Linked DNA regions of Drosophila melanogaster. The protein of the gene in region 1 interacts with the protein of each later gene in a pairwise test. Each region holds a gene or a part of one and is shown in the gene's direction. Other genes may lie near its edges.

Region 1 (3,758 bases):
CTTTCTTTTCCGCTTGCAAAAACATGACCAATCTCTTGATTACTTTTCGACTTAAGCTTCCTCTTCTCAGACTAAACCCAAATCGATCAGTTTATCGCATCCACTCTCAAGCTTTCAAAACTTATCCACATTCAATTTACTAAAACACTTTGCCGTAATCTCTATTTCAGATCCAGCTCCAGTTAGCAGACCGTTACACAAAAGCACTAACACAAAACACTTGGCAGAGCAGCTCTCCTTACGTTTAACTTTAATTACTCAATTATTTGCCAGATTTTGTTGTTTTTCACTTCTTAAGTTGGAAATTAGCCGCGAAGTACGCAGACCTAAAACGTTGGCCAACTGATTAGAGCGAGCGAGAGGCGGCGAGGGGCACAACAACGATCATATCGGATCGGATCTCGGATCGAATGGGAATCAACTATATATCGGACTACTACAGCGCGCGTGTGCGAACGCGCTACGAACCAAACTCAAACTGACGACCGAACTTCACTCCACAGAAATCCACGAGCGAGCAAACACAGCAAATACAAAAGCACAAGCAAAAGCAAAGACGGCGGCAAACAAAAAGAAAGAAGCACAAAGACAATCGAAAGACAGACTCAAAGCTTAGCGAAAGAGTCCGTTGAAGTTCTTTTGGTAAGAACCACAAAAAAGGCGGAAAGGCTTAAATAATCCTTGAACTTAATAATAACCTACATAATATAAATATCCAAGTGTATATTATCAGTCACTTTTGTTCGTTTTGTAACAATAGTCGTACATAGTGGCCTTTGGAAATACATACATAAACTTTATCAACGCGGTCTCATTGAATTATTTTTCTTATTTTAAATGTCTTTTAATTGTATATATTTTCTTATTATACTCAGTGGGAGACTGTTGATCACCTGTGCCGAAAAAAACGTATCTATAATAGAAAATGGGAGATGCTTAGATTGTAGGAAGGAAAATACGGAAATGTGTCGGATTAAAGAGACAGGATTCAGTTGTTATGAAGGAAACTTTTATAGGCGATTGGGTCGTCTACAAGGTGAATTCCCAAAAACAACCAATAAAGAGGGTGTTTGCGTTCCACCCGGACTGCATATCGGTATAAGAAGCATTTGAATAGTAATAAAAGACTAATTTTTTAATTTTACAGATACTATGAATGCCAAAGTCTGCTGCGTTTGGTCACCAGAAATCGGTTGTCAAATCTTATTAACTGAAGATCACCAGGGTGAATTTTGCTTCACTTGCAGAGTGAAATATAAAATGGAATACAAAGGCCTAATTTCCTGTCCGTGCGTAAAAAGTGAAGGATTGGGCCAACCCCATGTGAAATCATGGCAGAACTTTATTTTCACATATTTACTCATAAAATTATCCAGTTTTACCATGGGGCTATAACTTATAAATTTAAAATGTACATATAATTGAAAATTGTTATATATTTTACAGAGAGTTCTAAATACAATAAAGCTTTAGATTAAAATTTGTTTTATTGTGTAAAAATAGAAAACAAATCACAAATACTATGCAAAAATATGAGGATTTTACAAATGAATTTATTATTTTTTCAAAATATTTACAACTAATGTTATCAATATGAAATTAATATTAATAATTAATATTTTATTCACAACGAAGGCAATGGCATTAAAATAATCTCACCTGATACCTCGTATGCAGATGGTTCGAGTCCACGCTCAGGCGCCACCAAAGTTTTGCACCAAGGTTGCAGTCCATAGCCGAAGATTTTGACATGAGTGTGGCCAACTATCCTCAATCCGCTAGTTACACCTCTCCACGGCAAAACCATTAAGGCGTTTTGGTATTCGTGAGAAATCGCTGCACCTCCGTGAGCCCCCCCTCATTCTTTGAATCCTCGCCAACGAGCCGCTAACGTTGCTGACGAATAGTAAGTGCGAAAATTCCGAGCGAAAATTGCATAAGTTTTGTAAAATCGAAATCAAAGTAGCCGAGCGGTGCTCTATCGCTCCCTTAACATACACTAAATTTACGTGGTTGCTTAAAATCCTTCGCTTTTCGGGTAAATTTGGTGTCGTAAGTCCGGGTGCTCGGAATTCGAGGCACGCCGTTATGTAACCTACAAAAGCGAAAAGCAGCTGATTACCCAGCTATATATATAATTAGATAAAGCACATGTCGCCTCCGAGGTACATATATACGTAACTAATGGATGGTCTCTCTACTTTCAGCCGACCCCAGAACAAGAACAGAATCAAGATGTTCTCCAGCTTCTTTGAAACTGCCCGGAACTCGCCATTCCGCACCCCCATGTCGATGGCAAGATGCGATGCCGCCGCCCCAGTGGTGGAACCCCAGCCGGTTGAGGGTCGCCAGATCGCCGCCGCCGCTACCCCGGTGGCCAACCAGCAGGATTCGTGCGAATTCGGCAGCACCAAGTACTTCGCTCTGTGCGGAATTGGTGGCATTCTCAGCTGCGGCACCACCCACACCTTCGTGGTCCCACTGGATCTGGTGAAGTGCCGTCTGCAGGTCGACCAGGCCAAGTACAAGAATCTGGTGCACGGATTCAAGGTCACCGTGGCGGAGGAGGGCGCCCGCGGACTGGCTAAGGGCTGGTTCCCCACTCTGCTCGGCTACTCGGCACAGGTGAGATTGGGCTTCACTTTATGGGTTGCATAATCGTCTGGAGGCGAATTATATGCTCGTGACCAGGTCGGCTGACCTTAATTACATCGGTTCCGGGCTTGAAGCAGATAAAAGTGATTCGAATCGAACATTAGGAAGTTTGATTCCTAGGCTGATATCTTAGTATACCTCAGAATAACAACACACCTTTGACAACTTTATGGTTACGGGAGAAACAGATACCGAAGATAAAATCTTGGATACTACTGCAAACTGAAAAATAACTTCTGAGAAACAGCAGGCTAATCCGCGTTTCTGTATCTTTCAGGGTCTGTGCAAGTTCGGTCTGTACGAGTTGTTCAAGGTGAAGTACGCCGAAATCATTGGCGAGGAGAACGCCTACCTGTACCGCACCTCCTTGTATCTGGCTGCTTCCGCTTCGGCCGAGTTCTTCGCCGATATCGCTCTGGCGCCGTTCGAGGCCGCCAAGGTGAAGATCCAGACTATTCCCGGATACGCCAACAACTTCCGCGAGGCAGTGCCCAAGATGCTAAAGGAGGAGGGCGTCAATGCCTTCTACAAGGGTCTGGTTCCCCTGTGGATGCGACAGATCCCATACACCATGATGAAGTTCGCTTGCTTCGAGCGCACCGTGGAGCTGCTCTACAAGTAAGTAACATTTCCTCTTTAGGTATCCTCTAGTTTCTACAGCGGAAAAACTTACCAGTGCTGTGCACAATATCTGTATTCGTATTAGCGTTTTGCTATTACAATAGTTTAAAGGTAGACTGTTAATCTGTGAAATTTCAAAAGTGATATGCTAATTGATCAAAACTGAAAGTATTCATAATAAAATAAACTTTTAGCGCGTCAGCAGATAAGAATGCCATTCGTATCTAATAAATGGCACGCCAGAATAAAAACCAACGACGAATGCTTATCTTGTTCAAATATAGGAAAATCATATTATTTCAGAACTAGTTTGTTACTATGGATAAAATAAAAAAAGCAAAGCATTCCTTTTGAAGTGCAAATTAGCAGGTAGCCACTGAAAGTTCAAATGTAAAAACTAGAGCAATACCGTTCACAGTTCGGGTTGTCAAGCCCCAACGAACCCCGTTAAATCAATACTAATGATGCAACTTTTCCCAGGT
Region 2 (3,758 bases), on another chromosome or scaffold:
GGATCTGGAGATCTCCACCATCATCCTTTGCACCATTTTCGCTGTGGTCCTCTGCGGAGTCGTGGCAATGATCATAGGATACGTGATCCGCAAAAGGAAACAGCGCCTGGCGGGCAAGGATGTGATTGAAGCAAGTTAGTATAGTTCGATGCAGAAATCCTTTGTTGCTGTCCTGTGTTCTTCCCAATTGTCAGATGACGAAGCTCCGTGTGTGAAGTTCCTGTGTCTTGTTTTGTTCAACAAAATGGAGAACGGAGAACAATCTATTTAATTTTTTATGTTTAACTACTTAGTTTCGTTATTTATTACATGGTTGTAACACTACAAGATTGCCGAATCAACTGCTTAATAAATAAGAAAGTTTACAAAAACGACGACATTCAAAGTTTAAGAAAATTACTTTATATATAGTAGCTTTCTTTTCGTAAACAAAAAAAAAGTGGATACACTATTTGCCTTTGCTAAGAACTTAAAATATATGTTTTATTTAATTCTGATGTGAACAGAACATTAAGAACAAGATTTAAAAAAAAAGCGGATGCAGCCACTATAAGTCGTTTACAACATTTAAGCGTACTCAAAAAAATAATGGTACTTTTTAAGAATGTGGTACTGAAAAAATAATTTTATTTTTTTATTGCTTCCATGATTTTAATTTTCTACAAATTTTGGTTAAATATTTTGATTCATTCGGTGCATTAACGCTATGTTGCTGTTTTACTACGTTCTTAGTAATTTAGAAAAGTTTAAAAAACTTCTATTCAAAGGTCATAATTTTTGATATACACATAGAAAAGTAATGAAATCTTTTAAACTTTTTTGAGTGCGGCTTAGTGAGTAATGATTATTCTAATCAAATTTTTAAGCGAATGGTGGTATTTACCTTTTGTATATTATGCGTATGAGTAATTATTTAAAGTGATTTAAGATTTTAGTTTCTTTGCTCCTTTCGTTCGGATCGGTAGGGATTTGGAATTTAGCAAAATTTGACCAATAATGGCAAAATATACTTCAATCGCAGTTTTCTTCAATGTATTGTTTTTGTACTGCATTTACCTCTGCTCGATCGTAAAGTTTCCTTTTTTGTCAGCCTATTATAATTTCAAATAATTCAATCATCTTCGGTGTAATATTGTAGTTCATAGTAGTTGTCACTGCTTTCATTGGGAAATGGAGTGTAATTCTGACTCATAGTGACTAAATCATAAATTTCAAATCGATCGCAAATTTGTTTTTTTTATTGAACTACGTACTTGTTGTGCGTTGTAAATCTTAATAAATGTATTATACATTTGAGACCATTTATGATGTCACATATCAAAGACTCTATAAGCAGATGGAAAGACAAAGAAGACAAGAATTTATATTTATTGGGTATTTTAGCGGCTTCTGGTTGGTTATGCCTAAAAGTACGCTGCAAAAATGTGCGAATGGTTCACTAAATTACTAAAATTAAACAAAGAGCTAAGTAGTACTTGTTTCATCCATACTTGTTAAATACTGAAAATCCAGCTGGTTATATAAGTTTTCTGTATTCTGGATAAATATTTTACACACAGTCTAAACGATAACATGCATATTTTTTTTCGTCCGCTTTTTCTTATCGTAATAAAAAGGGCTTAGTGAATTGAATTTTTTCCCAGATTCAGTCCAAAAAGATCTGAGCTTAGACACACAGTTCGACCAGTTCATTTACTCAGTTCGTTGCAGTCAAACGTGTTTACTAGAAAAAAGATGCCTCCTTTAGAATTCCCACCGCCACCTAAATACGATGCTCCAAGTGTCGATAAACTTCCTGAAGCGGGTGCCAGATTAATAGCAATCATTTTTATGCTTTTTATCTGGGGCTATTGCAAGTGTTGTTGTTCTTGTTGTAAACGCAATAAGACGGAAGGTAAGAGCAATTCTTAACGTATCTGTACGATAAGCCAACTCTCTTATTTCAGCATCTATTAACACTCACAGATAATTGCAGTTTCAGATAGTTATCTTAGTCTATAGGTCGCGTTTGCAGTGCAATCATGAATTTTCTTTTTGTGAATGTTTTCAATTCGAATTCAAATGAAGACGACTTTAGTTTGATTATAGTGTTTGCGATTTTTGTATTGACCATTTGTATTGGGGCCATTTGTATATGCCTACGATTAAAAATTGGAAAGGAGATTAAAAACTGTAAAGGTTGGTAACCCATTATTAAGATACCGTACTTATTATTTTTATGCTGCTGTCTGCTTTAAAAAGAGACACATCTTAATGAATCAAAAATTTCCGCTTTATGTAGTTAGATCAAGTGGCATGTAGTTATTTTATAATTATAATTTTTAATGATAAAATTAACAACATTTTGAAACTATTCTGCGTATTGTCCACTTTGAGTCACTTTGTTCATTATTGCCACATGTAAATAGAGGTAAAAACTCACATGATAGCGGTATCTGCATCTAATACACTGAAAAACTTGTTTTTCTAATTAAATCCATTACTCGAAGACGTCATTCAAAGCGTCTGCATTAGATTTCCTAACTTGATCTTGTAAATTGATAAATATATGATAATAATGGGTATTGCCCAAGGTTTAGTGCTTTTGCTTCCTATCTGCACTGTCAATTTTATTTATGGTTCAAATATTCAAGTCATTGTCTAGAAGAAATTTTGGATTGTGTGCGAATTTAGTTCTTTAGCTAGAAGTAAAGTCTTTTGCATGAGAAATCCGAGTTAATATTAAAAGATGTAAGACATATTTAAGGCTTTTAATTTCCCCTCCAAATACAATTAAAAATAATTTCTTATCCAGTATCCTAAACTTTAAAAGCCTCTGTTGTGAAATAGTCCGGCTATCTTGGTATACTGAGATTTAGGACTTGGTTTGGAGTGGGTAATGACTGGGTGTTATTGTTATATTTGTGCAATATATGCTGATAACAACGACTGTGATTCCCTACTATTTCGGATTCCATTTCCAAATGTGCCACTAAATGCTTCGTTTACGCCTAAACGCAAATCAATAATTAGGTATTAATGGCTAATGGTCATAAAGGATTGAGTGTTGACGTACGTTGATCCCGAAATGCAGGGTAATTCAGAAAATGATTATGAAACCCATTTAGTTAGGTCGCAGGTCCTCACGATGAATGCCACCATATTGGATGTGTTTGAGGACATTTCCCAGCGACTGCACATAAACTGGACATTTCTGGCATACGAAGCTTGTATCCTCACGGTTTTGGTTGCCCTTGTTGTGATATATGCCTTAAATCTTGCTCGAAATCCGGAAGACTTTCGATATTGGAACAATTTGTAAACGTATTCCCGAAATGAATAACGAAACGGAGGTCAGCTCCTTGCTGGAGTCCCAGGAACGCTCTGTGGTTTTCATATCCGTTTTTCGCATAACCTTCAAAATATTCATTTTGGCATTGATCGGCCTGGTTGCACTACATTGGAAGCGTCGTCAGGCTCTCGGTGATTTAAGTAAGTTATGATAATGGTTGAAAGTGTACTGTTATCACTGATAAGTGCTATCTTTATGAGTGTGATTGCCCTTTTCTTTGGCCATTACTGGCACTTTTTCGATTGCCAATCCGGCGGCTTTAGTTTCTCGCTTTTGTTTAGTCTTTGTGCACCGCTTATTCAGTCAGTATCATAATCATGGATGATTCGGGCATCTACTGGATACTTTTCTTCACCTTCTCCGTATTTTTCATGACATCCGCGGCTGTATTTCTGACCCGTGGTCGAACCCGGAGAGCGGCGCTCAC
Region 3 (3,758 bases), on another chromosome or scaffold:
CTGAAAGTCCCTCCACTTCCTCCAGCAGCAGCCAAAGCGTTTTAAGGTCCATCCACTGGCCGCCACAGACAAGGGAAGTGGCCGTTGCCCCACTCACTCCGCCAGCACTCTCCCCGCCCGGCACGCCAGCACTTCCGGCTCCTCTGACCCCGGCAACCTCGTCGCCGCATAACAACCATGAACAAAATCAGCCAAGTAATATCAGTGCAGACGCAAGCCACCACACCAGTCCAAGTTCAAGGAGCAACCCCAGTCCCAGCCTAAGTAGGAGCAGAAGCCAGAGTGCGGAGTTGGAGCCAGTGCCGCCATTGGTTGAGCTTGACACCAGGGAGACGCTCTGAGCTGATCGCCGCTGCGGCCGATAATGTTTTGTACTTGAAATACTCCTGTGGTCTGTTAGCTGTTAGTCTCCGCGCTTAGTTATATTTTGCAGACCGTGCTGCTCTTGTTATCTAGTCCTTCCCAGTGCCCCAATGCTTGGTGGTTCCAAAACCTGTGCATTGCATATTGGTTTTGCGTTATTACCTTCGTTATATACTATATGTATATACATATATATATATATAGATATATGTTTTTATAATTTTATTGTGATCCAAAAATAATTCCTTATGTTTGCAAGGCAGCAGAGTTATTTATATAAGCAATATAACTGAATTCTATGCACACACACACCCACCCACACACACACCACACACACACACCACACACACACACACATGTTTAACGCGAACTCGAATGCGATTTCCGAGCAGCTGAACCAAAATTGTATACGATATCCGATCGCATAGTATAAATCTGTACTGTCTAGCCTTATGTCCGGTCCATGTCCTTGTCCAAATCAATCCATTTGATCCGCAACTCGTAGTCTTTAGGCTCATCGAGCGGCCCAAAAATTAGGCTCTATTTATTAGGCAAATTTTGTCATAGTTTGTATTGCACGCAAATAAAAGCTAACCAAAAAAATGAAAACACCGCTTATTGTTTCACTTGCAAACCAATCGGTTTCTTATAAAATTTTTAAAGTCCCTCACACATTTCAACCACGAATTGTGCCGTGTGTGACCACTGTGCACCACACATGCCACCCACTGTTGCCCCAACATCCACAACACGCTCCACTGTTTTGAAATTCCGATCAGAGGCGACCCACGGCCGTGCTGCAGCGGCAGCCATAAAAGTCGAATCAGAACGTTAAACCAGTTGCGACGCACAGTGGGCGTTGGGAAGAGAGAGAGGGACGCCGATCCAGCGAGCGAATCAGAAAGAGATGGCGAAATGCAGTGCTAGCCAAACGGGAATTTGTGGGTTCTTGAAGAAAACTAAAAAAAAAAGAAAATATTACTCATACGCCGCGTTGTCTACATGATTTAATAATATATATTGCATATTTTGTACGGATGGTTTTAATAAAATGTAAATGTTTTATTGAGAAATCTAGACAACTGTATTTATTTAATAGTTTTACTTTTATTTTGGAATGAACACAATCACACAATACGGTCAATCTGGCCCACTGTGCCGATTATAACAGTTAGCGGCGCAGGCGCAACAAACTAGTTTGCCCCACAAGCAGCGGGGAGTGGCAACTAAGGGGGGTGGGGGGTGGTTCTATTTAGGGCGTTGCAGGGGCGTCGTCAAAGGGCGCGCGCAACTAAATAGCCAACTGACTAACTAACTAACTGGGAGAGCGCGAATGTGAGTGTAAGTCCGAGTGGGAGTGGGAGAGCGAGCGTGAGTGCGCTAGTGTGGAGCGGAGCGGCGTGCGGTTAACCGTTAGCCTGCAGCGGCGGCAAGTTCAGCTCGCAGTTCAGTTCAGTCGACCAGCGGCCGCCGTGGACAAAGCAACGTAACGCCAAAGCAATCGCAGCGCAGCTCATGGATATATAGCTACAGTTAACTACCAGATACTAAACTACACACATTTCACCACATACCCAAATATACCCACCACACGCGGCATATATCTCTATATATATATTTGAGAATTAGAGGCGTGGGGGTTTAGGGGGTGGGGTGGTAACTCGCGCGAGGGCGTCACACGCGTTCATATACATCAGATATAGATATATAGGGTAGCTGCCGATCGACCAGCGAACATATAGAAAGCGGTGGTTATTTTTCTCATCTTATTTTATTGTGACAAAAATCGCGACAAGTGTTTAAAAATAGTTGTTGTGCCCAGCTAATAAAGTAAACTTGCCCGCCAAACTGAAACTGAAACTGAAACTGAAACTAAGCCAAGCCAAACTATAAACAGCAACAATATGGTCGAGACCGTTGTCAATATCGAGCGCACAACAACAACAACGACGAACGGACCGCCAGGTGGAGCGAACCCGACCGTTGGCAGCGGTGGCGGCTTCTGGAGCGCCATTCGCCTCAACATCGACTATTTCCGCACCATACCGGGCATCATCAAAATTGTGGAGTTTGTGAGTACATACAACTAGCTGAGATATATCACTACTATATTTTTATAATTCATTATAAAACAAATGAAAATCTAATACTTAATATTGCAACATATGATATTTCGAAACTATTGAATACGATCCACTTGAGTAGAAGTCTTTTAAAAACTGAAACCAAAAACTGGGCCAAATTTCCAAACATATCAAAATTATGTACATTACATGTTTCTAAACTCTTAGATTTAAAATATGCATAAATGTCGGTTTAAATAGAACTTAGGAATGCGATTATGTTGAAAAAGTACCATAATGTACATACATTATTTTGTGGAATGCTAAATTCAGACATAAGTTTCCGAATTTGGCTGTTATCGTATTTCCTCGAAACTGATAGAGCCTTCGAAACATAAAGTTTCAGAGGGAAATATTAAAATATACGTTGGATAATTGTTGTAGAGAAAAGTTAGAATTCCTCATAGCACTCTTATCGTCATAAATTGAACGGTTTTATCTAGAGTTTGCCTTCCGCCACCATTCTTTATCGAGATATCTCGAGACTTAAGAAACCCTAGAGCCTCGATGTGTACTCAATTACACAAATATGTATACAATATGCCCGACAACAAGTGTGTTGTGCACTTGCCCCTTTTGTGTGTACATATGTCAGGATCTCATTAGACTTACGACGGATAAGATAGGGGTAGACAAGTTGTAGGAACTGCAAACATGTGAGCTCCATGGCCATGTGGTCAACTCATAGCCCTCTTCTTGTATTCCACAGACGTTAAACACTTAACGCATTTGGCCTGGTATTCGAAGCTATGTATGATCTATCTTTTTTCCCACAAATCCGCAGCAAAATGAAGTTAAAGTGTGGGCGATGCAATCGGTATGCGACGCCAACACAAGGTACTCGCAATTATATGAGTGGGCACTGGGGTAACTCAACTACCGCTCGGATGGATCACCTGCTCAGGTGTAGAAAGTTTTCAGGCAAAAATTTCTCTATTCTCAATGGGCCAACGCTTGGTGGGCACAAGGTCAAGGGATAACGACAAGTGCTTGGGACCCACATGAAAAATGCATTATTAAGCGCTCGTCAGTTGTTACGGAGAAAATCAATAGCGGATAAATGGGAGGAGTGCTGGGTGCTTCGATGATATGATTACCGTCACAATAAGCTGTCGTTTATTAACTTATATATATTGATTTTCTGTTCTGAAAATCGGCTATTATCAGGCGACTAAGCTAGTTTAGCTGACGGCTGACGAAGTAATTTGCGGATGTTCTGGTAGGACTTATTTCCAATTCATATACTAATCTGACCAAAAAAGGAAAGCAAAT

Evidence for each region.
Region 2: the proteins of Mpcp2 (region 1) and CG17574 interact in a two-hybrid assay, tested with the Drosophila melanogaster proteins (one large-scale study listed by BioGRID).
Region 3: the proteins of Mpcp2 (region 1) and CG15211 interact in a two-hybrid assay, tested with the Drosophila melanogaster proteins (one large-scale study listed by BioGRID).

The regions. Positions count from the first base shown.
Region 1 is NT_037436.4:14,535,797-14,539,554, forward strand, and holds the start of Mpcp2 (mitochondrial phosphate carrier protein 2), read left to right. Parts: upstream 1-1,854; 5' UTR 1,855-1,906; intron 1,907-1,929; exon of another isoform or gene 1,930-2,052; intron 2,053-2,207; 5' UTR 2,208-2,235; coding exon 2,236-2,625; intron 2,626-2,932; coding exon 2,933-3,273; intron 3,274-3,756; coding exon 3,757-3,758. Other genes in the region: CG43246 (uncharacterized protein), read left to right, coding at 838-1,096, 1,148-1,395.
Region 2 is NT_033778.4:12,851,459-12,855,216, reverse strand, and holds the start of CG17574 (uncharacterized protein), read left to right. Parts: upstream 1-1,676; 5' UTR 1,677-1,734; coding exon 1,735-1,894; intron 1,895-3,634; exon of another isoform or gene 3,635-3,648; coding exon of another isoform or gene 3,649-3,758.
Region 3 is NC_004354.4:10,770,732-10,774,489, forward strand, and holds the start of CG15211 (uncharacterized protein), read left to right. Parts: upstream 1-1,809; 5' UTR 1,810-1,895; intron 1,896-2,036; exon of another isoform or gene 2,037-2,066; 5' UTR 2,067-2,267; coding exon 2,268-2,435; intron 2,436-3,758. Other genes in the region: BTBD9 (BTB (POZ) domain containing 9), read left to right, coding at 1-341.